Arabidopsis thaliana: one gene and its partners. The protein of the gene in region 4 interacts with the protein of the main gene of each other region in a pairwise test. Each region holds a gene or a part of one and is shown on either strand. Other genes may lie near its edges.

The links.
Region 1: the proteins of ELIP2 (region 4) and AT5G51160 interact in a protein complementation assay, tested with the Arabidopsis thaliana proteins (one large-scale study listed by BioGRID).
Region 2: the proteins of ELIP2 (region 4) and AT5G41800 interact in a protein complementation assay, tested with the Arabidopsis thaliana proteins (one large-scale study listed by BioGRID).
Region 3: the proteins of ELIP2 (region 4) and AT2G12400 interact in a protein complementation assay, tested with the Arabidopsis thaliana proteins (one large-scale study listed by BioGRID).

What each region holds. Positions count from the first base shown.
Region 1 is NC_003076.8:20,789,431-20,796,509, reverse strand, and holds AT5G51160 (Ankyrin repeat family protein), read right to left. Parts: upstream 4,438-7,079; 5' UTR 4,231-4,437; coding exon 3,727-4,230; intron 3,654-3,726; coding exon 2,829-3,653; 3' UTR 2,669-2,828; downstream 1-2,668. Other genes in the region: AT5G51170 (U6 snRNA phosphodiesterase-like protein), read left to right, coding at 1,180-1,336, 1,433-1,525, 1,709-1,955, 2,034-2,130, 2,228-2,293, 2,407-2,604; AT5G51150 (Mitochondrial import inner membrane translocase subunit Tim17/Tim22/Tim23 family protein), read right to left, coding at 5,015-5,281, 5,373-5,579, 5,684-5,776, 5,887-6,234, 6,392-6,490, 6,584-6,683, 6,823-6,962.
Region 2 is NC_003076.8:16,729,735-16,737,737, reverse strand, and holds AT5G41800 (Transmembrane amino acid transporter family protein), read right to left. Parts: upstream 4,076-8,003; 5' UTR 3,897-4,075; coding exon 3,812-3,896; intron 3,741-3,811; coding exon 3,510-3,740; intron 3,238-3,509; coding exon 3,140-3,237; intron 3,050-3,139; coding exon 2,863-3,049; intron 2,778-2,862; coding exon 2,647-2,777; intron 2,566-2,646; coding exon 2,329-2,565; intron 2,240-2,328; coding exon 1,850-2,239; 3' UTR 1,645-1,849; downstream 1-1,644. Other genes in the region: CIP1 (COP1-interactive protein 1), read right to left, coding at 5,347-8,003.
Region 3 is NC_003071.7:5,002,535-5,011,648, forward strand, and holds AT2G12400 (plasma membrane fusion protein), read right to left. Parts: upstream 5,909-9,114; 5' UTR 5,607-5,908; coding exon 5,510-5,606; intron 5,428-5,509; coding exon 5,234-5,427; intron 4,427-5,233; coding exon 4,245-4,426; intron 4,168-4,244; coding exon 3,883-4,167; intron 3,802-3,882; coding exon 3,743-3,801; intron 3,671-3,742; coding exon 3,634-3,670; intron 3,549-3,633; coding exon 3,477-3,548; intron 3,390-3,476; coding exon 3,065-3,389; intron 2,985-3,064; coding exon 2,610-2,984; 3' UTR 2,350-2,609; downstream 1-2,349. Other genes in the region: AT2G12405 (uncharacterized protein), read right to left, coding at 8,258-8,359, 8,808-9,056.
Region 4 is NC_003075.7:8,415,619-8,421,707, reverse strand, and holds ELIP2 (Chlorophyll A-B binding family protein), read right to left. Parts: upstream 3,467-6,089; 5' UTR 3,336-3,466; coding exon 3,201-3,335; intron 3,107-3,200; coding exon 3,005-3,106; intron 2,924-3,004; coding exon 2,579-2,923; 3' UTR 2,383-2,578; downstream 1-2,382. Other genes in the region: AT4G14695 (Uncharacterized protein family (UPF0041)), read right to left, coding at 863-911, 1,190-1,263, 1,361-1,413, 1,500-1,598, 1,821-1,875. UniProt on the Arabidopsis thaliana protein: Probably involved in the integration of pigments into the mature light-harvesting pigment-protein complexes.

The DNA of each region.
Region 1 (7,079 bases), on a different chromosome or scaffold from region 4:
CTTCGGATTCAACTAGGTACGGGCACTAGATAAAATAGATAATTTCATACATTAATTTGATATTCTCAGTGTCAAAACAATGTTTTCAGAATTGGCAGACTAAATTATCTATTTGTTCGAATATGGATGTCCTAATCATATTCGAACAAATAGATAACTATTTTGTGTCGTGTTCAATAGACATTTAATCAGACAACTATTTTGAATGTATTAGTCAATTCTTCCGATTAAACTTTACTCGTAGTTTGTCATTAAACTGAAGCAAATCACAATTGAACAAAGTTAGATTCAGAAGCTAACAGTTGTAACTTCACTTGGAGATGCACATAGTATCTCTCAGATCAAGTGTTGGATTAGATTAATTTTGCTTCATCATTATCTACCATCTAAATTCGTTTTTACTGAATAGAAAACCAAAAAACAAACTCTTATAAACTATTTATGGGGATTAAGGGGATAACTCAGTAGTGGCTAGTGATTTAGGTTCGATTCTGCCAGCAATTCTCTTCAGCTTAATCAGAAGAGGGAGCTGTACATCCTCATCGTAATCTCCAAAATCCCCATCATCATTAAAAAAGCGCAAACACCGATTTCAAAATCGATAAAAACGTATAAATCGATTACCAGAGAATTTCAAATTCGAAAACGCAAACAAATCAGAATCAAATGAAAAGAGAGGAAGGCTCAGATCAGCGGGGTTATCGACACAGAAACGACTCAACCAATAAATTGGAAGAAACGCCTAATTCCGGTCTGTTGAGCTTGAAATTTCCGAGTCATCACTGCCAATCTCCCTCTCTCGATTAGAGAATTATAAAGAAACTTAAAAACTATCAATCATCCAAAAAGACCCATAAAAACGACGATTGAATAACAGAAGAAGAGAACCCTAGATGCTATTGAATACTGATAATGATGAAACCTCCGGCGATTGGTGTCTAATTTATAGGGAACGTAATTAGGGTTTTGCTTTGATCTTCGGTGAAGGCCCATTCTCGGCCCGTTAATGGTTTCCGAATTGTGCTGCTTTGTCTTCGCGGATGGTTCGGTTTATATTCGGTTCGCTTTAATTTGGTTATATTAGAATCATTTTGGTTTAATCTGGTTTATGCTTGAAAATGAAATCTGGTTTAAATAGTTTCTCTGTTTGGTTTTTCTGTTTTAATTAATTTACGGGCAATGGAAGCATTGAGAGCGTCCTACGGCGACTCTTCATCGGATTCCGATACCGATGATCTTTCTCCGGCGAGTCCCGTTACTGCAAATTCTGGAGAGAAAGATTCGATTTCCTTGCCTCCTCCACCGCTTGCGCTTCTCGATTCCATTGTATCCACAGGTGAAGATGCTCATCAATTGTCTCTGTGATTGTTCCTCAATCAAATTCTTAGAGATTTCACTCATCACTTATTTTTTATTTCGTCTGAACTTGAAGGTTCACTGGATTTCTTCTCAACAGAGCCTGGAGTTCGTGTAAGAAACTTTCCTCATGTCGATGGAAATTACGCTTTGCACGTTTACGTACCTGGTATTTGTTCATTTCGTAGCTTAAAATTTCTGAGAGTTTCGAGGTTTTTGAATTCTGAAGTGGTTGTTTAGTATAAGAGGATACGTATGTGTTTGAGAATGTATTGATGAAGTGCAGGCCTGATGAAGTGTATCACTTGTCTTTCTCTTTCACTCATTGTTTATTTTGTTTTTGGGATTCTAGTTTGTATACCTCCACTGCCAAAGAAGGAGATTGTATGTTTTTTAAAGAAGGTTGCATCAGTTGTTCCTCATCTTCATTTGGTAGAGGCTGATGTGCCACTCAGCATTCTATGCAAGGATGATCAGAAGTTTGAGCGTGCCTTGGGGAGAGAGTTCCACATAAGCTTAGGAAGAAACGTTCCACTACGTGTTCATCAGATTAACTCGGTGATTTCTATGCTTCGGCAAAAGCTTCAGTTGCAGAAGAGGTAAGATCATTTCTTGCCTACCATACTACCCAAATTACGATGGGGTTTGTGAATTGTTTTCCGTTCTGTTTTTGACAGATACTTGATAGATTTCAATAAGTGGGAAGTCTTTGTGAATGATGACCATACTCGCTCTTTCCTTTCTTTGGAAATCACTACTTCAGGACTATCCGAGGTATGTTGTACAACAAGAGTTAACCTTGAATGTTGGATTTTTGCATACTCAGTACCTTGTGTTAGATATTGTACTGATTATCATATCCTTAATTCAGATAAGTAAGCAAATTGATGCTGTTAATGAAGTTTACAAGCTCCACAATCTGCCGGAGTTCTACAAGGTCCACTTGCTTTTCTATATAGTACTTTACAGCTTGATTGTATTTTACTGTTTAGCCAATGAAAATCGTCATGGACACTTATCCCATCGAGTCTGCTTCAATTTTTCTTTTAGGATCCGCGGCCGCATATATCCTTGGTCTGGGCGTTGGGTGATATTAGAACTTCCCTAAAGGGAGCTGTTGACGTGGAACTTAGGAAGCTTAGAGCAGGTGGTTGTGTGCAGAATCGTATCTTCACCTCTAAGTTTTGTGGGATCGAGTGTAAGATAGGAAACAAAACACACAAAATATGTAAACTCCCAGATGAATAAGAAAATCTCAAATTTCTGTGTTTGCAGACCAATCAGGTATGCATTTGTAACGACATAGAAGGATGAGTTGATCTGTGTTCTTGGGTATTCCATAATATATGTCTCTTCATAGAAAAAAGTCTCCATATATCATAATATCACTCGTAATAACATTGGTGATTTCTGGACAATGCAACAACAAGTCCTTGTGATTTGAAATAAGGTAGATATTGAACTGGCTACTATTATGTTACAAAACGTTTACATGAAAGTGAAATCATGGAGCAAATTTTTTGTGACCTGGAGTCCAAGAAGTGAGCGAGCATACCAATAGGGTTCTCGAGCAACCTCATCAAACCCGGGGTGGTAGCAGCGAGGATGGATGTGATGAGAATGCAGTAAAGCTTGACATGATCAGGTGCAATGCTGGCCATGGTTGTGTTGTGCGAGAAATACATAGCAATCATACAGATCTGAAGCTGGAACCGCAATGGGAACCCGAGGGTGAGAATGTTGAGCATAGACAGTGAAACCGAAAACCCAATTGTGTTGAAGAACACAAACAAAGTGAAAGCAACTCCATTGAAGGTCCCCATGATAGATTGCCCTGCTGTATGAGCTTGTTGATTTGTAGTATTCACATTCGTTGTGTTCTGGGATACAGCAGGTATTGAGCTATCTTGCCAGGTTCCACCTGGTGGGGTCAAGCTGGCCTGAAACGTGGCTGTGGCGACTAGTGAAGCCACCACTAGTAATGCGCTACGTGCTTCTGATGGTGAGTCTCTGTGCTTTTTGAAAGTGAAGTACTTGACAAGTTCTTTATGGCTTTGGGACTTCATTGTTCTCTCTTGGCATGTGGAAGTAGAAGTGGTTCTCTCGACATTAGTAGTGCCAATGTCTCGCCCTCTCTGAGCTCCAGCTTCGATGAGTTTCTCATAGATTTCTCTATCGCCAGCTTCGCTCGGAAACATAACCAGCAAATCCATCGCTGATAGACCCATCTTGTTCATAGCATTCACCTCAAATGACCTTGATTCTTCTGGTATTGCCTGAACCAACACTTCAATCACCTGTAGGCAAAAGAAAAACAGAGTTTGATTCCACTGGAAGAAAACTATTTAACCGCAACTTAATTCGTCGTACCTGGCGATTTTTTCTCCAGGTTGCAAGATGAAGAGCAGTGTTACCCTGTTCATCTTTCTTATTCAACACATCAAATCGATTTGTCTCTGTGATCAACTCAACAATGGCTATGACTGCTTCGATCTCTAGGTGCAGAACAGCAAGATGCAAAGCAGTTTGACCTTGTACGGTCTCGTCTTCTAAACAATCAACACAGCTCGCTACAATCTCTCTGATCACATCGATTTTCCCTCTCATCGTTGCCACATGTAGAGGAGTCTTTCCATCTCTATCTTTTAAGCGGCAAAGCTTCTTTTCAACCCCCAAAGTTGCCCTCACAGTCTCTACTTGTCCGGCTGCCGCAGCTGCATGAAGAGGGCTAAACCCGTTTTTGTCCAAGTCAAAGACTGACCGCTGCCTGAGAATCTTTCCGGCGACGACATACTCTTCACTCCTTGGGTTGAAGGAGTTATAGAGAGGATCAGAGACGATCTCCTTCGGTAAATGAGTCTCAAAAGCATCCATTTTGGTGATGATGCAGAAGAAAGAGAGAGAGAAGATCGAGTTGAATATACAATGAAGGTGTGTACCATCACGACGCTTGTTTGAAATTTTCTATTACAAAACTCCCTTTGACATTTGACTTTGTAGCATATGAAGTATTCCTTAAAGTGGAACAAATGCTTACAAGTGTCAGTTGTTTGCATTACTTTATCTTTTGATTTTCTGACCCTGAGATCATCGTATGTGCAAATTCATATCCGCTCCGACCAATACAGATGAAATTTCAACAATTTGAGTAATACAATAGTTTTTGGGTATGAGAGTCAAATCTTAGACGAATTGACTTTTTTTCCATCGGTTGAGAGAACTTGCATTAGGAAACTAAACAAAACTGTGTTTTTCTTGAAGTGAGTTTTTAAGCAATAGATCAAGATTATAACAAGACAAAAAGGAATATATCTAGTGATCTGTTTCAAGTTTCAACACTGTGTTGGTGTTAACAAATCAAGACAGCTTGACTCGCTTGCCATAAATCTTCTTCATTCTGCTACTTCTCATTGAAATAAAGAAGAGACAGTGGAGTTGTTGTTATTACGTGAAAGAAAATAAAAAACAGGCTCCTAAATCCTATGAATCACTTCAATCTCTTAAGTTTTCTGTGTGGAGGAACCCTTTCTTTCTGGAAAGTTTCACATTAACTTCCTGAAACACAATCAAAATCATGATTCCGTAAAGGGTCCTTTTTGGTTTGCTCAATTTCAACGTCAGGTGCTAATATAGTATCAGACAGCTTCTGCTTATACTTCTAAAGACCGGGAATTGCTTCCAAGTTATACTTTTCTTCGGCTTTCGGAGTTTCGCCTTCTCGGCTCTCCTGCGTTTTCGGTTTCTTCAATGCATCTAGGGTCTGGAGATAAGAATAGGACGAACTATGAGGGTATTTGCTGCTAGGATTGCTTATTTGGCTAGCAAGAAACCGACGGATGAGTCCCCTCAGAAACGGAGCCATTGTATCAGGTTCATATTCGAGGTAGTACATTATTCCTCCCATGCATCCACAGAATAAAGCCACCTGTTTCCATTAATTGTATAAAACATCAGTTCCATTGCTCAAAGGGGAAGAAAGTTGGAAATAACAAAAGTGGTTTGTAATTGTATTGTACCTCAGCATTTTTAATGTCGGGAAGAAGGTGGCGATTAACAAGTATCTCCCACAGAGAATCTCCTGCTCGGGGAAGAACATATAGAGCAAGCTCAGAGCGTCTCGGTTTCTTCTCCAGCATAACTGAGAGGGCTGCTGCACCACCCGCAAACCAATAAACGAGCTTGTGGTCTTTGGTTGCAACTTTTCTATGGGCACATATGAAAGCCTAATGCAAATGGGATGAAGGCACATACATTTGGGAATGGTTTTAGGAAACTATGTGAATTGTATGAAATGAGGGGACACAAATCAAATGTAAAAACCAGCTACCTGAAAAATCCCAACAAAAGCAGACAAGAAGGACGTCGATCTAACTGAATCTCTGATTGCAAGCCAAGATGTCCGGTAAGGAGAAGCCATGAACTGAAATGAAAGTGTAGGATGGCATCAGAAACTACATATCATGTCTGACTAATGCATAAACCATAGGAATCTAAAAGACTGAAACGGCAAATATTGAGGGACAGTCTTACTTTTTGTAGGTGTAGAACAACATATGGGACAAAAGTCAGGGAGAAATATAATGGAAATGTTTTCTTGAATGTAGCTGACATTGCATTAGCATTTTGGGCCAGACACGAGTTAGTGTTTGGATGAATAGCTGCACAGGGAATGATGGAAGCAAACTCTTCCACCTTCACGTCGCTTGCTTCGTTTTTACTAGAAATATAGGCTGACAAGGAGGCTACATCAATTGGACCACCTCTGCAGCACTCTCTTACAGCTTGGTAGACAGGCCTTGCAACTGGACCAGTCTTCTGAATAAATTCTCTATATGATTTTGGCAAGGTTTCAGGACGCATTATAAAGGAATACATAACCTGCACCGACCTCATTGCAACAAAATTAGCTTGCTGACCATAATCACTACCAAATCACATTGGAGAGAATACGTATGGTACACAAAAATGTCTTTCAACGTCTATACTATCTCCATTACTAACTAGAACAGGAAGAAAAGAGAAGAATCTCAAATACCTGAGCACATGCAAGAGAAAAAAGTAACGAATCTCCATGTCTCCAATGGCTACCCCAAAGATGGAACTTGTTCTTTGACTTAGCGGAATTATAAGCCGCCTATTAATAAGAGAAAAAATCAGACTCCGAAAAAAACATCTGTGTGGTGATATTACTCTGTACGACAGACAATACTATGACCATTAGATGTACCTGGCCTAATCTAGCCAAGAGGTATAGAGCAAGTGTGCGACGCTGGTTGGAATCATCTAAAGCCAAGATAGACAAACCCGCAACTGAACCTGCTAAGACTCTGCTCCACCCTTAATCAAAGTCATAATAAGGAATATACTTTTCAAGCACTATGCACAAAGTAAAAAGTAGAAGCATTATAAGAAAAGAGATACAACAATCGAAATCTTAGGCAACACAAATAAATAAAATAAACTTACGAATTCAATGGCGTCTCTTTCTTTCTCCACTTCCTCAAACAGCATCTAAGGGCATGATACGAGCCAGTAAAGCCACCAAAAAGTAGACCAATACGACATGCTTCCTCCCTAACTATCAAATCTTTCTCTGAAACAAGTTGCTGCAACCATTGTTCACGTGTGAGTGAATCGCATATACAATGATAAGTCAATAACACATTGGCCATAGTTTCAAAACAACCGTATCAAATGGAACACTAAAGCAGAGACTCGTAAGA
Region 2 (8,003 bases), on a different chromosome or scaffold from region 4:
AAAATTGATAGATATGATTGACCCATAAGCTCGATTAAAAATCATTAAATGTCTGGAAAGTGAGAAGTGATATCCTACCTCTACGCGTGTCCCGAGCTTGGTGGAATTTTCACGTGAATGTAATGCAACTGACTATATATTATAGTACTACAATAATCATACTAAACTATCATATTTTAGTGACTTGTGGTAAAATTTGGTTAACCATTATTAAGCCCCAACTCTAGCGTTTACCAAACCATTAGCGAATTTTAAGTTCTATACACGTACGTAATTACATTTTTTTTTTTTGTAAGCTAAATCACATGGATTTTATGAAGTACTCATGTATAGTTAGTTGACAATGACGAAAAATGTAATAAATAAACGAGCTTAAACTTTTACTGTCAGAATTAGAAGATTTTAGCTCTTTCAAACACTCTTTTTCCACATGAGTGTCTTGCAAAAAAGCACGATCATGTGGTATTATCTTTTTCTAAGTAAACTCTATTTCATCAGATTGGTTTTCTCTTAAAGAAAATGGCCATTTCTATCTTGAATGGATGAATTACTTTTGCCATTAGGAAAAAAACTTTTACTGACTTACACACATGTGTCTAAAACAATTAACACAAAACGAGTTAGGTTCTGTATGTTGACTATTCGTGCTCGTTCCTAAATTCCTAATCCTAACACGTAAACCTTAGAAATAGTATTTAACAAATACTATCGCTGATACATCACATGATAAATCATTAATTTGATCTTGTCCCCACATATATTTATTTTTTTCATTTATGATGAAGATCCTCAAATCATACTCTCAATATAATATATATTTACAGAAAATGGCCAAAAGATACTATATGAATACAAACCTTTATATATAATTAGGTGAGTATCTGCACTATGCGCGAGCTTTTTTCGGTATTTTTTTGTTCCTCATGATTTGTTTTTAGTTGTTATATTGAAATGCTATTAAAAAATAGTACCTTGTTATTGTGTCTATATTTTATTTTTAAATTTACTATATATCCATTTATTTTGTTGTTGCTAGATTACCTTGATCCTAAGTTCTTTACGTCCACATTGTTTTGCATTTCCATTTAGATTCTTAAGGTAATTTTTAATAATTAAAAAAAAAAAGAAGAAGAAGACAAAATGCAAATGAGATTGGAGTATCCGCTCCGAAATCCATGACCATAGTATGTGATAGTCTGGGCATTCGAATTTTGGATCGGATCAGATTAGATTAGGTCTGATAGAATCCGATTAGAATCCAAACAATTTTATGATTCTAATTTTTTTAGACTTAAATCGGTTTTTATTGATATTTTAGAATCCCAAGTGTATTCGAAACCAAAATATGTATGGTTTTAATTCTTATTTGGATTTGAATTATCCGATGAAATCCAAAATATCCGAATTATCCGATCAGAATTATCAAAATTATTTGAAATTTACTATATCAAATATGAAATTCTGAATTACACGATCCGAATTGAGCATAAAATTAATAATATGTAATGTATTATTTCGGATTGGTGGATATCCAATCGGTCCGAAACCGAACCAATCAGCTACGAATACTGAAAATTAACACACTCTGAGAGAGTTTACTGAACCCAGTAATCTGTTTAGTGTTTATACCCAAAGGAACTTTGTATTTAAATAGAAAATCATTTAACAAAAAAAACATATTCATCTCAAGAACAATTGACGTAAGTGTGATAATCCTTGTCTGGTTTTGCATTTTGTAACTAGTTTGGTTTTGCATTTTGTGTGATAATGAATCAACTCGAGAAATTCATGTACAAGTGTAACCACAAAACAAGTATTGTTTATGTTTTTATCACACTATCAAAACCATCTAATCAACAACTTCACTGCTAAACAACTTGAACTTATTAGCATCAAGAACAAGTTTCCTAATGGAGGAGAAAGCTCCCATGAGTCCTGCACAAGTGAACACAACCATTATCGTCATGTTTATCCAATACGTGAAGCTCCGTCTGGTTGGCTTATAGGTCATGTTGTATAGAAGCATTGGCAGCACGAAATCGAGTGGGATAAACCCAAACGCTCCTACCACCGCGTTTATATCCCCAAAGAACGGTAGCATCGCTGCCATGAACCCGCAAAACGCCATATATAGTGTTCTTAGTATCAAACGCGGCACAAGGTTGCGTTTTGAGAATATCCCTTTTGTTGTATCCGCTGATTTCTTCTCCATTATTTCATACGCAACTTGAGAATACACCTAACCAGTTACCAAAAAAAAGAAACATTTAGTCACTCGTCTCACAGCCAAGTAACATCGAATAACGATCACACTAGTTATAAACTTACAAGGCCAATGGCGAAAAGCTGAAGAAGGACAAAGATGACAGCTAAGCCAATCACCACGATAGGAGCCAGAGTCGGTCCTTCATCAGGCATTAAGTTCTTGAGGATATTAGAGCTCGAATTGTTACCAAAAACCCAATATCCCGAAATTGCAGCAGAGTAAAACGTGAAGAAGATCACACTATAACACAACAATAGTCCTTTCAACATCTTCCCTGTGGCTGGTGGAGCAAGAGTTGCCTGCATACATATAATCATCTCATAAATCTCAAACACATAACATACAATGTTTGTATTGAATAAATTGCAAACATTTCTCACCTGTATTTCGGGTAAGATTCCATTTCCGAAAATAGCAGCTATGATCGAAATTGATGTGAAGGCACTAAAAACTTTCCCTGAATCCGAATGCTCTAGAGAATACTCACGTTTAGGAGCGTTTTTCGACAAACCTGTAGAACCAAAACTGGGCAATGAATCTAAATTTTCGAACATTAGTAAGTTGTTGTTTCTTCGCTAACGTAAGAATCATTATACCTAGGTTGATACAAGCCCCAACGACGAGGAAAGTATATCCTAAGCTGAGAAGCAGAGACGCACAGTTAATGTGTCTAAGAGAGTGAAAACTTGGAAGCTGTGAGAGAACCATCATCACAACAGTCACCATAGCAATGAACTCGTAAAGCTTCAACGTTCCTTGCGGGAAAAGACTCGAATACATTATCTGTGTAGTAACACAAAAACAGAGGATGATCCGTACGGTTCTTATAGTACCTTGTTTAACAAGTAATCAAAATTTAGGTTTCTTTCTTACATCAAGACATTGACCTGCAAGTAGAATGGCGCCAATACCAATTCCAGTGTTGATAGCTGTTTGAATAAAGATCACTACATAAAACATCAATCCAGATCCTGCACCACATCACAATAACCGGCTCAAAATTCGAAATCGGCCCTTAAACCCAAAACTCAATAACCGGAAAGACCAGACTTTATGACGTAAACCGATCTATAAACCGAAATACACAGGCCTAACCTAGACCGGTACGGTAAACTAAGACACGTGTGATGATGGCGAATCTAACAAGAAGTCAAAGTATCCAAATCGAAACACGATCCAACCTTTACGGATTTATCCAAAAAAAGCAAATTAATAAATACAAAGAAGAGATTTTGAATGATACCAAGAACATCGGCGGCGAGTTCCCGGAAACGGATGTGACGGCGGCCGGATTTTTCACAGTGATCAAGAACCTTAGACATGAGGTAATAAGCGTAGAAAGTAACGAGTCCCATCGTCGTTAAACAAACAAACCCTAACCACCATCCTAATCCTCTAAACGCATATGGTAATGTCAATATCGTCGGACCAACAATCGCCGTCGTTAGATGAAATCCGGCGTGCCACCACTCGCCTGAGAATTAATTCTCAAATCAGTTAAAATTCCAAAATTGGAGATTGATATCATAAATATATGGGTTTAACCTTTTGATTGGAGGACGAAGAGAGCACCGGCGTCGGAATCGAGTCGGGTAACAGGAAACGGGTCGGGTCTGGGAGGATCCGTCATCGATGAATTTTAGTGTGAAAGAGAAGAAGATTCTACAAGTGAATGATTTATATATGGAATGATGATGATGGAGAGCACGGTGGAGAGGTGGGCGCATGATAGCTGGTGATAGTTAATGTTTGCTATAATGTTAAATTCCGTTGCTTCTTTAAAGAAACAACCTGTCATAGTGAGAAAAGGAGACATATTTTGCATTTTCCTCTTTATTCGGGATGTGATAAAATTTTGCTTTTTTCAGATTCCTATCATTAAATTAAAAAATTAGTTTTATGATTCCTATTTTCATACATTTCCACTTGTACTTTACTTGTGCTTCTTTGCATGTTTCAGATTTTTTTTTGTAAAAATAAAAATATTAAATTGACAAAACAAGGTTTTGAAATTACTTTTTGATATTTTATTTAGAAATTTTCAGTAATGTATTGTTTGTAAATAAGGAAACAAATTTTAAGAGTTTTTTTTTTGTTGGAATAATCCAATATGATTTATATGAATATCTATCACATAATTTTAGATTTAATGTATCTTGGTGAATTAATCAGATAATAAAGTAATTGGGAATTATAACGTGTTAGACTCTTTTCAAATTTTAAGGTCAAAGTATAATCACTGTCTGATTTTAGAGGAGAAAGTAGTGTGTTTCCATAAACTCATAAAAGTGAATAGAGTTTCTATTTAAAATTTAATAATTTAAGATATTGCCAAATTGTACTTAATTTTCAATTAACTTCGATTTAGGAAATATCAACTAGTTATGGAATTTTTTCTCAAATATTTGATTGATCTAACATCACCAAACCTTACTGGCTGACTTATTTTGTGTATCATTCACATGGCTGACTTTTTCGGTTGTGAAAAACACTTGAAAAAAAAGTGGTTGCTATTAAAGAATAAACATTTCAAACATTTCAAACTAGTTCACATTAGAAATTCAAGGCGAGATATAACGACTGCTAATGCAAAAAAAAAAAACCCAATAAAATAAGAAATGAATGAGAGAACGAAACTCTGTAAAGCGATGTGTATAATTTTGTTATGAAAGAGCAAAGATGATACTATAACAAATTCCAAACAAGCAAAAGCACTATACCAACAGTAGCATTTAATCGTTCTATACAATCCGACGCCCAAAGAAAAAAAAATATCAACTCCATTTGTGTGAGCCCCTTTATTCCCTGACCTCCCATAAAAACCACCACCAACTTTGCCCACAATAAACCAAAAATTTTGACTTACAAAATACAACAAAAGTTAACAAACATATAAAAGTGCAACAAAATCGAACACAAGTACACCAAAAGTCCCCAACCAAAAATACCTCTCCACCAGCTTCTTGATTGACCAGAGTCCAAAACCTAATAAACACATATATGTTGTTTCATTGTTTGCATTCATGTGAGGTGGAAACTAGGCTTGGGAAAGATAAACAACGTACCATGGCACTGAGTCCTTAAGTTCGCTGCGACACTCTTCTTTGGCCTCGAGCCACAACGGTCTTAGACAAAACCTCCTCAAGATATTCACAACGACTTCTATGGTGATCGATCCAAACACATAATTGCCTTATCGCTTCTCTTTTCTCTTCTCCAAGTCCCATCAAAGTCTCTTTCATCATCTCCTTCTCTTTTTCATCTTCTCTTACTTTTCCTCCAAGCTTTTTTATTTCTTCATCTTTCTTCTCTATCTCTTTATTCATCTTCTCCTTCTCGTGATTTCTCTCTATCACCCAATTCGTCGCAGTCCACAGTATTTTTGATGCCTCCATTACAGTTTTCTCGTATCTCCCCTGTTTCTCCGTGAGTTTTTCTGACATGGATTGAAACCCATCTACTGTTATGTTCACTTTATCTGCTATCTCTTTGATCATACCTCGATAAGTCTCATGTGTCATGGTGAGATTCTTCTCAAGCAATGCTTGCTCCTCTAAGTGCTTAGCCTCTTCTTTCCTGAAAGCTTCTTCTTTCTCTGTTAGTACCTGTTCGGTTACTCTCAGTTTCTGGTTCGACAAGCGTAGCTTAACCTCGATGTTACTGATCTTCTCCATGAGAGTTTCGATCTCGTCTCCTTTCATTTCCAGCTCGTTACGTAAACTCTCCATCGTCTCTTCATGAACCCCAATTGTAGAATCTCTGGATGTCACTTCCTTACCCCTCTCCTCCAACAATCTTTGAGCTTCTTTGTAATCCACAGTTACCTTATTTAGTGTTGCTTCAGTTTCTTTAAATAGTTCGTTTATCTGCTTGTGTTCCTCTTCCAGCGTATTGTAAGCAGCTTCTTGCTCTACCAATGCTTTCTGGACATCGGTGATCTGATTCGACAATTCTGATTTCTCTTGCTTCTCTCTCTCAAGCTCTGCTTCGGTTTCGCTCTTCTGCACCTGTAGAGAATCAAGCTCATTCTTCAGATTGTTGATCAGTTCTGTTAAGGCCATTATTTCAGAAGACGCTACGTTGATCTTATCGTGCATTTGAACATTCTCTTCTTTCTTAGTTCTCAGCTCCTCATCAAGCTCACTTCTCTGTTTCCCTAGAGTCTCTAACTCAAGTTCACGACCCTTAATCTTCTCAGATAAACCATTTATTTCTTCTAGAATACTCTCGTGAACTTTAACCTTGTTTATGATCTCCTCTTTTAGATTTGTAATCTGACTCAGATATTCAGATATCTCCTCGGACTTCTTTTCAAGTTGGATCTCGAGTTCTGCTCTCTGGCTATCAAGTGAGGCCACTTGCTGTCTCAGACCATTGACCTCATCATCCAAACGTTTAATCTTCACTGAGGCTTCCTCGCTTTTGCACACCATTTGTTTCTCCACCTCTTCTTTTTGAACAGACATTGAATCTAATTCTGCTCGTAGGCCATCGATCTCAGCTGTCAAAGTCTCAATTGAAGACGATGATTGCTTATCGTTATCCTCAAGTTTTTGAGTTAAAGCTGAGAGTTCAGTTCCTCTCTCCTCCATTGTCTTCTCAAGTTCTGAGATTCTAGCAACCATTTCTCTGTTTTGCGCTTCCAACTGCTCAACTACGGTGGTCTTGCTTGCAATCTCTGTCTCAAGATCTATTATACGGGCACGAACTGACTCTAGTTCCAGCTCCAGTGTCGCTACTGTTGCTTCTAGTTCTTTTATTTGCACCTGTGATTTGCTGTCCTTCTCTGTCAGAAGGAATAGTTTGCTTTCTTTCTCAGCGAGCTGCTCTTTCAGTTTGCTCGAATCAGCTGTGAGTTCCTGTACCATGATCTGTGTCCGTTCAAGCTCATCTGAAGTTTCTGAGATTTTCGTGGACATAGTTCTGCTTTCTTCTTCTGCAGCCTTCAGACTTTCGCTCAATTCCAAAACCCTGTGTTCAGATGATTCCAGTTGCGCTTCTAAACCTCTTAACTGAGTGGATAATTCTCTCTGATGAGTCTCATGGATATCCCTCAAGCTAAAAAGTTCATTGTCTTTCTCAGCGTGGCTCCCTTTTAATCGTTCAGACTCAGAGCTGAGTTCTTGTATGGTGCTTTCCGCCCGCTTGATCTTGATCGACATTTCTGAAATTTGCTGAGATAAAATTTTCTTCTCTTCCTCTGAACTGTTCAGGTTCTGGTTCAATTCTTTAACCTGTTCCTCTGCTGATTCCACCCGTGCTTCTAATTCTTTCACCTGACTTGAGGAATCTCTCTTATGGGCCTCGTGTACCTCCACAAAACTAGAAAGCTCATTCTCTTTTTGTGTGAGTGTATCTTTAGACTCTGCCAATTCAGTCACAAGTTCCTGTACCTTGCTTTGGGCCTGTTTGAGCTCATCCGTAATTTCCAAGATCATTGAGGACAGGGACTTCTTTTCTTCCTCTGCAGCATTCAGACTCGCACTCAGATCTACGACCCGTTGTTCTAATAATTTCAGTTGAGTTTCTAATTCACTCAAACGAGTGGATGATTCTCTTTGATGAGTCTCGTGAATGTCCCTCAAACCAGTAAGTTCCCTCTCTTTCACACCGTGGCTCTCTTTCAACTGTTCAGACTCAGACATGTGTTCTTGTATGGTTTTTTGTGCTTCTTGAATCTCATTAGAGATATCTAAGATTCTCTGAGATAACATTTTTTTCTCTTCTTCTGCATTGT
Region 3 (9,114 bases), on a different chromosome or scaffold from region 4:
TTATATCATTAAATATAATAGCGTTTCCAAAACTGCTATCGTAGGAGTGACACCTACCATAGCTGCCGAGAACATGGCGTTTATGAATTTGCTATAAATAATGTAAGATAGCAGATTTTTAGCGCTAAAAATGAACAAATTTCTTGTAGTGAAACAAAATATGAAGCCCTAAATTTTGACAGAGGAAAATAGTAAACATATGAACATGGCATAGTCACGAGAGCTTACAATGCCTGGACATCAATAGCGAGACAAGAAAGCCCGATGAAGAGTTAATCGTGGATCTTAGAGACTCACAAATAATCGGTAGCGATGGTTGGTAATTGCACACCATGCCTCCGATCACTGGCTATATAGCGAAACAGTTCTTCCCTAGCATAACTACGACGTCACTTCAAAATTTTAAAAATATCTTAATCACCATAATGTCCATCGATTCATCGTTTAAATCATACTATCAATCATTGCGCAAAACAAACAAAAGTTTAAAATTAAAGGAATTTGGGAAGGAATACTTACCAATATAAGAAAATTATGGTTGATGGAGTGAATCTTTGGGAGTTTTTCTATTTGCTACTGGAAGGTATACTCTGGTGATTGATGTGTTTTGTGTTTACAAACCATCCTTGGTGTATCGGAGAAGGAGAAGAAGAAATCATGGTGGGCTGGGCGTTTGTTCATTGGGCATGTGTTCGAAAGAAGGTCTATTAAGGGTGTTGTGTACATGTGACACCTCAATAAAAATAAAGGGTTATTGAGAATTGTAATGGATGTAAGAAGACATAAATGTTTTCATAACAATTCTCAATATTATGAGTATGTAAAAAACTAATCTCAGACTTACAATTGCAATTACGATTTTAAAAAGATTTACAATTGTACATTTATGATTTTAAAAACAATCAATCGTTCTGCGATGTTTTGCGGGTTAAATATTATCAGTTTGTACTAATATAAAAAATTTGTCTAATTTCTTAAATCCTATATATCTAATTTAAATATAAATATATGATTTATTATTTATTTTTATTTATTTTTATATTTAAATTATTTTCAATTATTATAAAATATATAGTAAAAAAAGTTAAAATATTTAAATTTTCTAAAAGCTTTAATGTGGAGCCAGACACGTTAGCAAAGTCGGCTTTACAGTCTTGCAACACCTCCTCCTTTACTAGAGTTTGTTCTCTCTTATTTTTAATCAAGCTTTCACAAAAGAAAAAGAAGATAAATCATCTATCGATGAGATGACATGCTTGTTATAAAGAATTAATAATCCATGATTAAAAAAATAGCATAACTAAACACGTAAATTTTTTCAAATGTCAAGGGAAAAGATTTGATGCTACTATACCCAACAACGTTACATCATGTCGTCGGTGTAGCCTTAGTTCGAGTAATAAACATTATCAATCTAATATGTAAGTCGACCGTTCTTTGAACATCTTCAATGAACATCTATATTCTTTTCTCCATTTTAACGATGACTTTATTGTAGAGGCATTTTGCTCTAAGACCATCTCAATGGTTGTTTTTATTTTTCTTCTAAATATAGAAAAAAATAGAAATCTCAATTTTTTACTCCAATAGTTTCTTAAAAATAAAGATTTCTATTTGTTAGGGTATCTCTAACCTACTCTATCTTAGAGTAAAAATGCAAAAAAAATTTCCAACCCTACTCTATAATTGATTTTAAAATAGAGAATTCTGCAGATTTGGTCTATATAGAGCAACTCTATTCTCTACTTTATTTTTGAATTCAATTTTTTTTTTATACTTTAGTCCCTCAAATTTAAACTTTTTTATTTAATACATATAATCATTTTACACACAACAATTACAACACATAGTTTTATAAACTTAACAAGCAAACAAGTACTAAATTTAAAATAAACAACATAAGAAAACTAAAACATACAAGTAGTAATTTAATAGTCTGGTAAATTGCGTGTAGATCTGCCAAGATAGTTAAAATGTTTTAGTTGATCATATGTGAGAAAAATATTTTAATGGTATTATTTTAAAAAAATTTGTAATGTTTTATTCTTGTTATATGATGTAATATTTTTTTAATAAATAATTAGTGTTTAATTTAAAATAATATAATATTTTATGGAAATTTTGCAAATCTATAATATATGGATCAAATTGTAAATTATATAATTAAAAGGTATTAGTATATAAAATAAAAATAGAATATTTCTAAGAATATTCTTTTTAGAGTAAAATATAGAGATATACATTGGAAATGATTTTAAAAAAAAAAATAAGAGAAAAAATAGAGATGGGTTGGAGATGCAATAATGTATGCCTTTAAAACAGAGAAAAAAATTAGAAGAATACATTGGAGAAAAATCAACTCAGAGGAAAAGAATAGCGACATGCATCGGAGATAGTGATGTCAAAATCCCACAAAATATTTGTCAGACAGCGAGTTCGAACAATATTAAGAATCTTGTAGCTCCACAAATTAATATATATCTCATTTCAAAGTACTTCCCAAAACATGTAAAAACAATCAAAGATTCTTTCCATCATTCACTACACAGAAGGTAACCAAATTCTCACACCATAATGTACAGGGTAAACCTCCAAAAGAACATAATCTCTCAGTGGCCCTTGCTTCGTGGATCTTCAGAGTGCATAGCGTTGTAGTCTTTTGTGTAAACCCGGTGCCTCCTCTCTCTCGCATATATAACCCAAAACACCAAAGATGACATTACAGAAGCAGACACCACCACAAGACCCACATAGATCCATTGTGTGTATCTCTTAAGTCCCGGACAATGATCCCTCTCTATATCAGTGAATGTAGACCTCACGAAGTCACACCCTTGTAGGTCTGCCAAGAACGGTCCGTACTTGTACAAACCATAGCTTACATTAACCGCTGCAGCCATCTGGCTGTAAAGCTTTGGTGTCAACCGTCCCGGTGTACTACATGTTCCCGGTGTTACAATTTGGCAAGTGAAGTTCTTCCACACCTGCATAAAAACAAATCATAAGACAGACTGATATGACTTGGGAATTTATATATCATATTATGATGGAATCCTCGGATTACCTCGGTTGCATTGTTCAGATGGACCTGACCAGGCTGGCATTGGCGGTCAGAGAGATCAGCGTTGAAGGGGTTACAGAGTAGAGGCATTAGTGGACCTGACTGGTTGTAATAAAGAGGCCGGAATTGAGGCGGGAAATTCCTGTTGGTCATGTTGCTAATGGCATTGTCAAGAAGATTGACCAACTGGTATGTTACAAGCTTAGTCCGAGTCAATGTTTCTCTCGCGGTTGCATTATCAACACACGGTAGAATATCGTCTAGAGCCGTGTGAGCTGTTGGGTTTTGGACCCATTGGTCCATCGCAACACACGTATCCCCTACAACGCTGACAAAGCAGAAGCCATTTTTTTCTTTGAAGAAAGCTATCAATTATTGAGTAGACAAATAATGGTAGTGAGAGAAGAGAACTCACTTGTGTAGAAGTAAAAATCCACCACATAAGACGAAGGTAACCGTGACGAGAATCCAACCAAGGATCACCAACCTGTCCATTGATAATCACAACAAACTTTTCAGCATATAGTGGAACCAATGTAAAACAGAACATAAGAAAATGAGACTTCACTTACGTATATACAAGGCATTGCAGTCCAAAAATAGAGAGAACTGTATGAGAATAATGCAAGTTAAGTTCTGCAAGTTAAAGAATTTGCTAATGCATATAACATGAAGACTTACGAAATCCGATAAACGCAAGGAAAAGCATCACAGCAGCGATGATGACGAGAGCAAGTCTCCTACAACAATTAGAGACAAAAAATCATAAGCAAAAAGGTGAAAAACAGATGAAAGATAAAGATATGGTACAGAATATTTACATGATGTCCAAGACATTTTGTATCTTGTCTTGGTTCTCCATTGTTTTCACAGAAAGAGTTGTGGCGGACGAGTTTATCTTTCCCTGTATGTTGTCGATACTCGAGAGAACATCTTGTGGCAAAATGCTGGATTGCACATCAACCTTCTTAGCTGCATTAAGATAATCTGACACATTCCTGAGGTTTTCTGACGTGAGATTCGCTTGACTCACGACATAGTCCAAAGTATCGGTTGTGCTAGCATGAAATTTCCCTTGACCAGTGTAAAGAAAAACACATCCTATACTGGAATATCAAACACAAGATACATAAATATCCAGCAAGAAACAACGATGACGAATAGAATAGCTCGTGAGAATTACATTGCTGCGATTGTGAACGAGATGAGGAGGATAAGGGATAGAGCATAAGCAACCCGGGAATAACCATAAGATTGACGGGCACAGCAGCAATAACAAAGGCAAATCAGAGACAATGATAGCCCAAAGAACACAAACCAGACTAGTGCTATTATAATGAAAGGCGCCGCTGTATAACCAACAGACTGCACCACAAGCAAAGAATGATAGAGATTGATTAGTATGTCACCAATACCATACAAAAGACTCATCAAAAATATCAATTGGTATCAAACATCTTTCATCTATATAAGCATAATAAAACTGATTCAAGTAACAAGGCTAGTCATAGAGCTAATCCAAATTTCCATTGATTAATCCAGAGTGAATATTACAAAATGATAAAGATCAAAACTTTTAAAGTTCAAAATTCAGGAATATAAGAATCAAAGTCAAATAAACCAAACACCCTAACTACACTTAGTCATAGAATCAAAACTTTAATTAAAATTTAACTACAGTTAGCCATAGTTTTAATGGTAAAGATGAAAACTTTAATCAAAATATAGGAATATAAGAAGAACCCAAGTCAAGTAAACCAAGCACCAACTAGTTATGAATCCTAATCCACTGATTAATTCATCATGAGCATAACTACACCTTAAAAGTTAAAACAGTCAAACTCCATTTAGCCATACTTTTGATGGTAAAGATTATAACTTTAATCAATATTTAGGAATATAAGAAGAACCCAAGTCAAGTAAACCAAGCACCAACTAGTTGTGAATCCTATGCTATTGATTAATTCATCATGAGCATCATAACTACACCTTAAAAGTTAAAACAGTCAAAACTCCACTAGACTTTTGATGGTAAAGATTATAACTTTAATCAAAATTTAGGAATCTAAGAAGAACCCAAGTCAAATGAAGCAATACCCACCTGGTAAGGAGAGAGATTTCACACAACAACAAAAAAAAAACATTTTTGGACCACAGAAATAAAAGACTCACAGTCAAATAATGGGAATTGCTTATATTCCATCCACCAGTGTAGAGTTTGAAATTATCAGCAGGATCTTTTCTTCTTGTTCTCTTTGCAGCTAAAATCAGAGATGAGTTCTCTCCACTTTCCTCTGCAATTACTCTTTCTATTACACTTGTTCTCCATTCTTCTTCTACACCTCTTTCTTCTTCGTTACCAACCCCTGAATCAATCAAACACAAATTGAAAAATCTTATAACTATTAAAAAAATGGAGAAACAACTTTTGAAAAATCTAAGTCTTACCAGTAATCGATGTTGTTCCAGTGACGACCACAAGAAACGAAGAGAGTAAACACAGAGACACAAGTATAAACACTCTTTGAGATCTGAAACACAACATTATGTCTGGTTCTTTTTTTTTTTAACTCTCTGTTTTTTTTTTCTGTTGTTGTTGTTGTAATGTTTATTCTCGATCGTGTTTGAGAAACAATGGGGCTCTCTCTCACGTTAAGAACACGATTGATTTGAGAGGCATTGCTTGACGCGGTTCTGTTTGATTCGTCGAATCATCGGTTTTTCCATAATTGATTTAATTTCCAAATGCAAATTAAGTTAATTTATTTTTTCTTTCAACATTTCGAAAATAGGTTTAATGTGCGCATTTGTAAAGTTAACCAATTTCTTACAAAAAGATGTTCCGAGTAAATATATTTATTAATAAGAAAATCAGAAGTAGAATATTTTAGTTGTGATTATATTCTCTTGTATAATTAAATTACGAACATAACATAAATTTTTGTTAATAAAATAATTTATGATAGTTATGCGGCATAACTTGTGCCGACGCGTCACAAAACAAATCTTTGAGAATAAAGACTTGTTGTTGGAGGTGACAGAGATATTTTATCTTTTGGGTACAACTGTCCCTTAGTTTAATAATTAAAACTTAAAAATCTTGAAACTAAATCTTCCAAGTTCCAAGTAATTGTAATAGATTCTTTGGTACAAACTTTCGTATTTACTATTAAACTGTCTTCAACTACCGTTGTGAATTTGTGATGTAAGGTCGAAGATTATTTAGATTTGTTACTATGTGGCCAAAAAAAAACAGATTTGTTACTGAATTATTAATTTCAAAAATGTTTATGAGTTTTTATTTATCAAACAAAAAATATAATACAATAAAATAAAATAAAAATCTTCAGAATAGAGAACTGACTAAAAATATATAATAATTTAACCGGATTTTTAAGTTTATTTCTTAATGAAAATTGAAAACACATAAATAAAAACAAAAATACTAGTGCTGAGTTAGATAAATATGCACATCTGCATATTATACCCAATCAATTTTCATATTTGTTGGAGATAATCTGCTTTTCTAAAAATAAACATATAACTAATTATTAATTAATCTTCACAAAAAAAAATCATTAGAATCAAATCAATTATTTTCTCTCTCTTCTCTCACAACAATCTTTCAGAGAGAGAAAAGTGTTTTCCTTTATTTCCGACGATGTTTTGTCGGATTTTGTTTCCGGTGAAATCCGGTTTTGTCTATTCTCGCCCAAGTGCGAGTCTATCTTAGCCACTATGGCTAGTTTTTTGTTTTGTTTTTCTCTCCTTTTGCAGATCTTAGATTTCTTTTGGAGAAGAAGAATTAGAAGCTGAGTGCTTAATTCAGAATCTCAAGAATCATCAGTTTCTCAATTCTGGTCAAGGGGAGAATAAATCCTTCATACCCCTAATGGACCGTAATCGGCTAATGATGAAGGTTTCTCTTTAAGATTGTGAATTGTGATGAGTGGGACTTGATGGCCGGCGTAGAACAGTTCAGAAGAGCGTGTTTTGCGACTGATCTGACCTCTCGCCATGTCGTATGTTCCAGCAGTTCATAGATCTGATGACTCGGATTCCTGTTTCTTTTCACTCAGAGAATTTAGCAAAGGCAGAGAATTGGTGATTGGAGTTTTAACTGAATTCTGGTAAAATCCTTGGATGGCAAACGATGATTTGATTAGCAGAGTTCGGTGGATTTGATCGGAGTTTCAGCCCGGTGGAAACGCTAGGAATGAGTCGGTTGCGTCTTCTTCCACCTTCAGCAGATGTTACACACGTGTCACATACACATGTCCCTTTTACCCATACGTGTTCGTCTATTTTGATTGTAATAGCTATATTGGGTTAATTGGGCTTTCTGTACTTGGGATCCTTTTCACCATGTATCCCTTTTATGGGTTTAATGAAACTGACGAAAAAAAAAAAAAACTAATTATTAATTATTCGTGGCGTAAGATTCACACATAATGACTAGATATTTTTCTTTTCTTGTTTAATTTATTAAGTACTAGATTTTAACCCGCGGTACACCGCAGGAACAATTTATTTTATAAAGGTAGCATATATAAAAGTTTGCAAAGTGTATCTATCTATAAAATATTTTTATTTTATAGTTTACAATTGTTATTAAGTAACGTCCTGTCAAATCTGTCCCGTCAACCCGTCTCGTAAAAAAAACAAATATATTTTATTAATATTGATCTTATTTATGATATGTTTATGAATCATTGTCTAAATATTTTGTAATTTTGTAGTAATTAAATGCTATCAAATATCTTTGCGGTTTGACGATTATAATCGAATTGTTATAGTCATGCAGAAAAGCAATATCAAAAGAAAAAATTTTATAGTAATTAAATGATATTAAATATTTTGGAAGTTTTATTTTAGTAACTAATCGTGTAGTTAATTGGGAGAGATTTTGGGAAGATTGTTAAATGTCAAATATTTAATTCGAATATTTTTTCTCTAATTATCAAAAACAAACATTAAAATTTAGTGGCAGCAATTGTAAATAAATTCCAACTACACGATTTAGTTCACAAAATGGCTGCAAAAATGTATATGTAGATTTATACTAAATTTAGATTTGTTGCAAAATATACATGAAAAACGAAAAGAAATTAAAACAAAAAAATCAAAAACTATGAAAAAATGATAAAACAAAAAACACAAACGAGAACCACCAGCATATCCTATGTGAATCAGTCCTCAAACCTCATAGCAAAAGGACACTTCAGCTTCTCCAGAAACTAAATGTAAAAACGGAACCGACGACATGTGAGCACCAATGAACAACCAAAGAAACTGCCTCTGGCTACCAATCCAGAGCATGACACATCAAAAGCAACTCAGACAGGTTTGAGAACACCCACTAGCAGTGGCGGAGCCACAAATATTTTTTATGGAAGTCATATATTAATGTAAGTATATTATAATATGATTCTTTATTTAACTCAAAAAAATTTCATTGCTGATTTTTAAAAATATTCTTTGCTATTACATTTGCTTAATAAAAGAGGACTAAGAAACATATAACTATTGCTATAAATCCTACAATTATAGTTCTTTTGATAATAATATAACTAGATTCTGACCCGCACATACGTGCGGGGTTTCATATTTTAAGAATTAGATTCTGACCCGCTCTTTTGAAATTTTTTGGGGAAATGTTTTTTTTTGGCCGGAAAAAATCGAATAACCTTAAAAAATAAAAAAAATATAAAAGTCATGGGGTCAACTGAACCCTCTCCTATCTAACCCTCCTAGACGAAACCGCCGTCTCTAATGAACCTTGAAACTCTTTAACAAGGTTCTCGCGATGTAAACCAAGCCGCATCACAACAAAGAACCCAAGAACAACCAAAAATCCAATCCAGCCAATGCACAAAGCATCGAAGGACAACAAACGGAGGAAAGAACTTCTCATAATGAACTTCAAGTCCACTGCCATACCAGAGAAGAACCAAGTCGCCACATTCCAATTCGAACAGGAACACCAACGACCCATATTTGGAGTCTAGGCTAAAGGGAGTTTAGCTTAGAGTTAGGTTATCCTGATTAAATCT
Region 4 (6,089 bases):
TAATTTTGAGATCCACTTAAGTGGCTAAAGTGATGATAAAATCCAAACATGTTACACATATTCCTAGCCTAAAAATTAGACGATTATTATGAAAGAAACTAAATGAATATGCAGATTAAATATATCTAAGCTTTTCGAGATCTATGCTAAGAAAACAAGTAATTTGAAAGATATTTGAGGAGCTATCCTTATAACTAATACGTAAGATATAAGATTATGACAAGAACTTAACTAAACTTTCCAAGAACATCAAGTTGAATATGCTTAGATTGAATATGCAGAGATATGATTAATAAAGACATGTTATATTTTTAGTGTAAGAAATAAATTTTCTAAAATTTCACCGTCTCACAATCTATACATATAACTGAAAAAGCAAGGATATATAAATTCAAAAAAAAAACTGAGAATCTAAAACAACAATAAAAACAATTCAATCACATTCGTTTTTCAGATGAACTAATATAGTTGGGCTTTTCAAAAACAATTACAAATCATATTTATGTTTCAAAACCTATGCATTCAATTTTACTTTATATGAACAAACATTATATAAAATAATTTGTAAATAATACGTAAACCCGCACGTAGTGCGGGTACTCATCTAGTCATTGATAAAGAGGTAACATATTTTTAAGAGATATAGAGTTATTATTTTGATCTAATTACTGATTAATCTTACATAAACTCAACTATCAATCTTGTCCCAAATAATATAAAAATCTTTAGCAAGCATGTAACGTACCATTCACTATCTAACAAAAATCCAAACATTGGCATATGCTACTAGAGGTCCATTAACAAGACAGTACTAATGAACGAACATTTTCACATGTCAAATGTTTCATCTTTTTCATCATCATCATCCTTCAATTTCAACAGCAGCCTCTGCTTCAGATACATAATCATACCTAATATCAAAAAAAAAGTTAATAAGCATTTCATTGATGTATCAAAAGATAAAATCATACTATCATAGACAATCATCATAAAAATCGAGTTTAAAATAGCTTCGACTCTTTGTTTGCATTACATATTAAGCAAAATTTCCTTTGCTGATTGTAAACGCCAAACCAAACCTTTCTGATTGCGTTTAACTTAGCAAAAGAAATGTTTTATATAGTAAGCTGATGAATTTGTTATCTATGTTAAAACACAAGCAAAACAAAAAAGTGGGTTTGATTCTCACTTTATTTTGCGAGTAAGTTGGTATATCCCTGTAGCTGCCATAGCAACATTAACACTAAACAGGTTCCAGTTTTTCTGTTAAAAAAAAACAAAAGTCCAAAGAATCAGATCGATAAACCAAAACCAAGAATCCAATCACAAAAGTAAAACTCGAAAAGCAAACAAAACTTACAGGAGTAATTATAGTGCTGCAACGACACCAAATCATTCCAGTGCATGTCACAGCTAATACAATAATTATGGATAATATGTTTATAACAATAATTGTAACAAGAAAGATTAGAGATTTCTGAAGAGTAGTAGTTATTTACCAATTTGCTGAAGGTACGAAATATTTTCTGGAGGTTTCTGGAAATCTGCAATGTTAGCAATGCTTATACCCCACTTAAATGTTGGAGCCCAGAAATGAACTGATTAATACCCAACAACAACAACAACAAAAAAAGAGAGAAACTGTTTACAATTAGAATATATTATTCATTAGAGGATTTAAAGTGATATAGATTTTTTTTTGTCAAGAACTGTACTATAAACAATTCAACATTTTCCAATAGTAACGTTTCAATAGAGTCTTAATTGAAACGGAAGAAGAAAGAGTAATATATTATTGATGAAACAATGTGATAACTCACTTGTCTTTGGTCCTGCCGGGTGATTCCAGAGAGCTTGAAGCTTAGACGTCGCCATCAACTTTTGTTTTCCTCGGAGATTCTCTTTTCTCTGTCTTGTTTCAGTCTCCTACATAAATATTAACGAAATGATGCTACTCAAAACGACGTCGTATAAGCAATATGTAATTGAGCCACTCAAATCTTTCCGATTATATTCATCGATCGTACTATCGTGTAGTGTTGTAGTGGCCAGATCTTTCCTCTTTTAAGTGTTTTTTTGTTTGTTCATCTTAATATATTTTTTTTTGTTCTTGGGAAGCATTGACGCTTTGATTGGGCTTTGATGAGACTAACCCATGGGCTTGAGAATTGAGATGAGGTGATTTGTTAGAGAGAAATCGCATTCAATTTCGTTTCGTCTTGGAACTTGCTTTACTTTCATTATGGCAGACACATGATGACTCTATTGGTCGATAATAACAAGGAAGAGCATAATTAATTATTCTTGGCTCTTGATTCATTTCAAAAGAATGCATAAACTCTCAAACCTTGGATAGAAGCTAAAATTTATTTTTTACTTCTTCTTCTCCATTCACATTATCTTATAAGAAAACTTTTGAAGTACTTTTTCAAATAAATTTTTATAATGTTTTTTTCATGGTTTTAAATTTTGATTCATGTTGACACACTGTTTAAAACTCATAGTATTAAATCAATCTATGCGTTACATAATCATTCTCCAAATTTGTCCTTAAACTAGCAAACAAAAAGCTTTAGCTTTAGACTAGAGTCCCACCAGTGACGTACTCGGTGAAGGCCAACGCAACGAGACCGAGCATCGCAAACCGACCGTTCCATAGCTCGGCGTCTGAAGTCATGAACCCTTTTGACTTTGCCTCTGCCCTTATTCCCTTGAACAACGGAACCATCGATGCCAACGTCAACAACGCTGTTGTTCCTAGAAACCACCCGACACCACCGTCAGAGATCTGAGCAAACACGTTTTCTCCCTTTGATAACTCCATGGCGATGGCCGCCACGAATCCAACCATTGCTAGTCTCCCGTTGATCCTCTCGGGTGCTGGACCGCTAAACGCTAGCAAATCTCCAAACTTCGTACTCACCTAGACAATAAGAAAATTATTCATTAGCTTCATTTTTTTAGCTAGTGATATATATTAATGACTTTGATCATTAGATCATACCTTAGGCTTGCTAACTGGTGGAGGAGGAGACTGTGGCATTTGTGGTGGAGTGGCCGAAGTCGAGGTCGAGGGCACAGAAGGATCTTCCTTGATAGGATCGCCCTAAAAAAATAGTCAATGTAAGGAACGGTCAGGATTAAAAGTCAAATAAGTAACGTAGGGAAGTGGAAGGACTATGAGGTTAGTGTATATATACCTGAGCCATGCATCTGACTCCTACCGGAGCAATCCTCTTGAAGAAGAGTTGGTTTGTGTTTCTGATGTTGCGTGTAGTCAATACACCGGAAGGAGCAGCGAACACTGACTGCATGTTAAACGACGCCGTTGCCATTTCTGATTAGGTTTTCTAAAAGCCGAAGATCGATGAAGAAGAGAGAAATGAATAAATTATAAGACTTGAGAAGTGAGATGGAGTTGGTTTGAGGTGTAACTGTAGGATTATCTCTTCATTTATAGAGTTGGTGAAGGAAAATGATAGGCCCAGTATTTTCTGGATTTTATTTATCTTTACTGATTTATGGGATACTATGATTACTTATTTTATTTTTGTTTTTGTGTGGTGTGTAGTAGAGTAATAAATAAGTAGAAAGAAATCTATCAAAGAAAAGAAAAAAACTGAATTCAAACTTTTTATTCCTTTTTTTTCTTTTTTCCACTTTAAACTTTTTTTTTCTTTTGGGGAAGAAAAAGTTTCCTCAGAATAAATGTTTTCAAACTTATGAGATTTTTTCCATATTTATTGTAACACCTAACAAATCAGTTGGTCATTCGTTTCATTATTTGTAAAACTACCATATTAAAATTATACAAATAAATCGAATTATTTTGCTCGAAATCGTTAAAAATGTGAAAAAAAAAGAAGAATATATCGATATTTGGGTTGAACGCTAAACACAAAAACACGTAGCCAATAAAATTTGAGAAATGAGAGGAAAGTGAGGTTGAGATCGGTGAGAGGCCACGTCTAGTTGGAAAAGTGCAAGTAAACTGATGGCGTGGCCTCCTCATTACACATAGATACACATCTTCCTTGTCTTTTTCTGATTGGTCATGGCCAAGTGGGTTTGGCAAAAACACGTACAAATTTTTTTTTTGTCTCAAAATGTTAATAACAAGTTAGTGGCTCACAATATTCACTTGGGACTTGGGAGATTCGTTTTTGGTATAGAGAGAAGTCGCATTCAATCTTGTTTCGCGCGTATTGGAACTTTCTTAACTTTCATCATGGCAGACCCATGATGACTCTTTTGATCCTTTATGTGTCCCATTCATGTCTTCGTGCCCAATTCTCCTACGTGCGCTGTTTTTTTTTCCAGATTAGAACGGTAAATAATAGCACAATTGTGAAGATATGGGCATAGTCTTCGTGTCGGTATAGTCTCCTTTTCTATTGTCTTTTGTGTGTGAGTTAATTTCTAAATTTGTAACAAGGAGAAGAGAAACCTCTATTAGTGCTTGTAATACTTTTTGCTTGATAGTGAAAAGTTGTGGGAGACAGTTCCCACCCGAGACGTACCGGTTAGAGGCCAGGAGGCAGGAACTCGGTGATCAAACTCTTGTGTCAATTTCTAGCTTAAGCAATCTAACGTTCCACACATATAGAAAACTCAACAACAATTATTTAGATATGAATGATCAGATTTGATGTACCACCATCGATATGTGCTCTCTGCGAAAACTCTTTATATATACTGAAAGAAAACATACACCCACATTGGTAGTTTTTTTTAATGGATTTTACTAGCAGAGGATAATAAATTTATCGCATATATTACTTACATTTGTAGTTTCAAATACGAAAAAACTTGACCATTAGTAGTGTGAAGTGTGTAATTGATACTTTTGAGTTCAGGACGAAAAAATGTTCACGTCATTCGTGAGGAAATAAGGCATTTAGACTCAAAAGTCCAAACATGTGAGAAGGTCCTCGAAAGGGCGAACAATAAAAAGCCCCGAAGCCCATAACACGAGTGCCTTCTTATCCCCATGAGTCTTCGAGTGGACAAAGAGAGAGAACAACTTTGGGAAATTTATAGTAGTTTGTGAAGACTTCATATAAAAATTGTATTTATGAGATTATTGTGTTTTAAGAGGAGAGACGACGAGGGTCATCATTCATTTAATTACTTTTAACATTATAATTAAGTTCTGATTTATCCGGTCGTTTATGTAATTTATTGATTATATACTTAGGTTATTTAGCCGGCCACAAGGCCAAGCAAGCAAAACATAAGCTTGCGGCCGCTAATCATATTATTATTTAGTTTTGGCCGAATTTGCATAAAAATGTAGTCTAATGGTTAAAGTTTCAGTATTTGAGTTACAAGTTCCTTAGTTCAAACTTTGACAATGTGTTAAACTAATTTTTTTTTAAACGACAGAATCACTAAATAAATAAATATTATGTGGCCCATTTTGTTTCTCTTATTGTAACCCCGTGAAACCCGGGGACGACTAGGTAACAAATACTCTTTGGGTTTTCTTATAAATCAAATGCATATCTTTGATAAACTAAACCATGAAAGAAGGAGTTTTTTTAACTGATGAATTGATGATTATTGAAGTTGATATAAGTTAGATTCAAGTTTTGATGTACTGTATTTGGAACAGAAATGTTATAATATCTTACTAAAGCCCAGTTCGGAACAAGGCCTTACCCTTATTTAAAGCCCCAGTAGATCTGTTTTGAATTGTCGCTATGAGTGAATGAGGATGGGTAGGTCGACCCTCAGAATTCTTAATTGGCACATGTTGAATGTGAGCCCAAAGCAGCCACCAATAAAGTGAATCAACTCCGTCATTTTCAATGCTTTTTCATGCAAGAGGAAACATTAAAATATCGTCGTTATTAGTATTAATTATGTTTTTGACCTGTAAAGAATGGACAAAACTTATACTAAACAAATTATTTCGCCGTCAAAAAGGAAACAAAAGTTCAGATATAAATTCCTGGTAGCTTCAGGTCAAGATAAAGTCAGGTCAAAGGTGATGAGCTCTATAATGAGTCCTCCAAATGTGATTTAAGTTTAAGAAATGAACACACTTTTCTTAAGCCGGCATTAGTTTTATGTTATTACCCCACAAA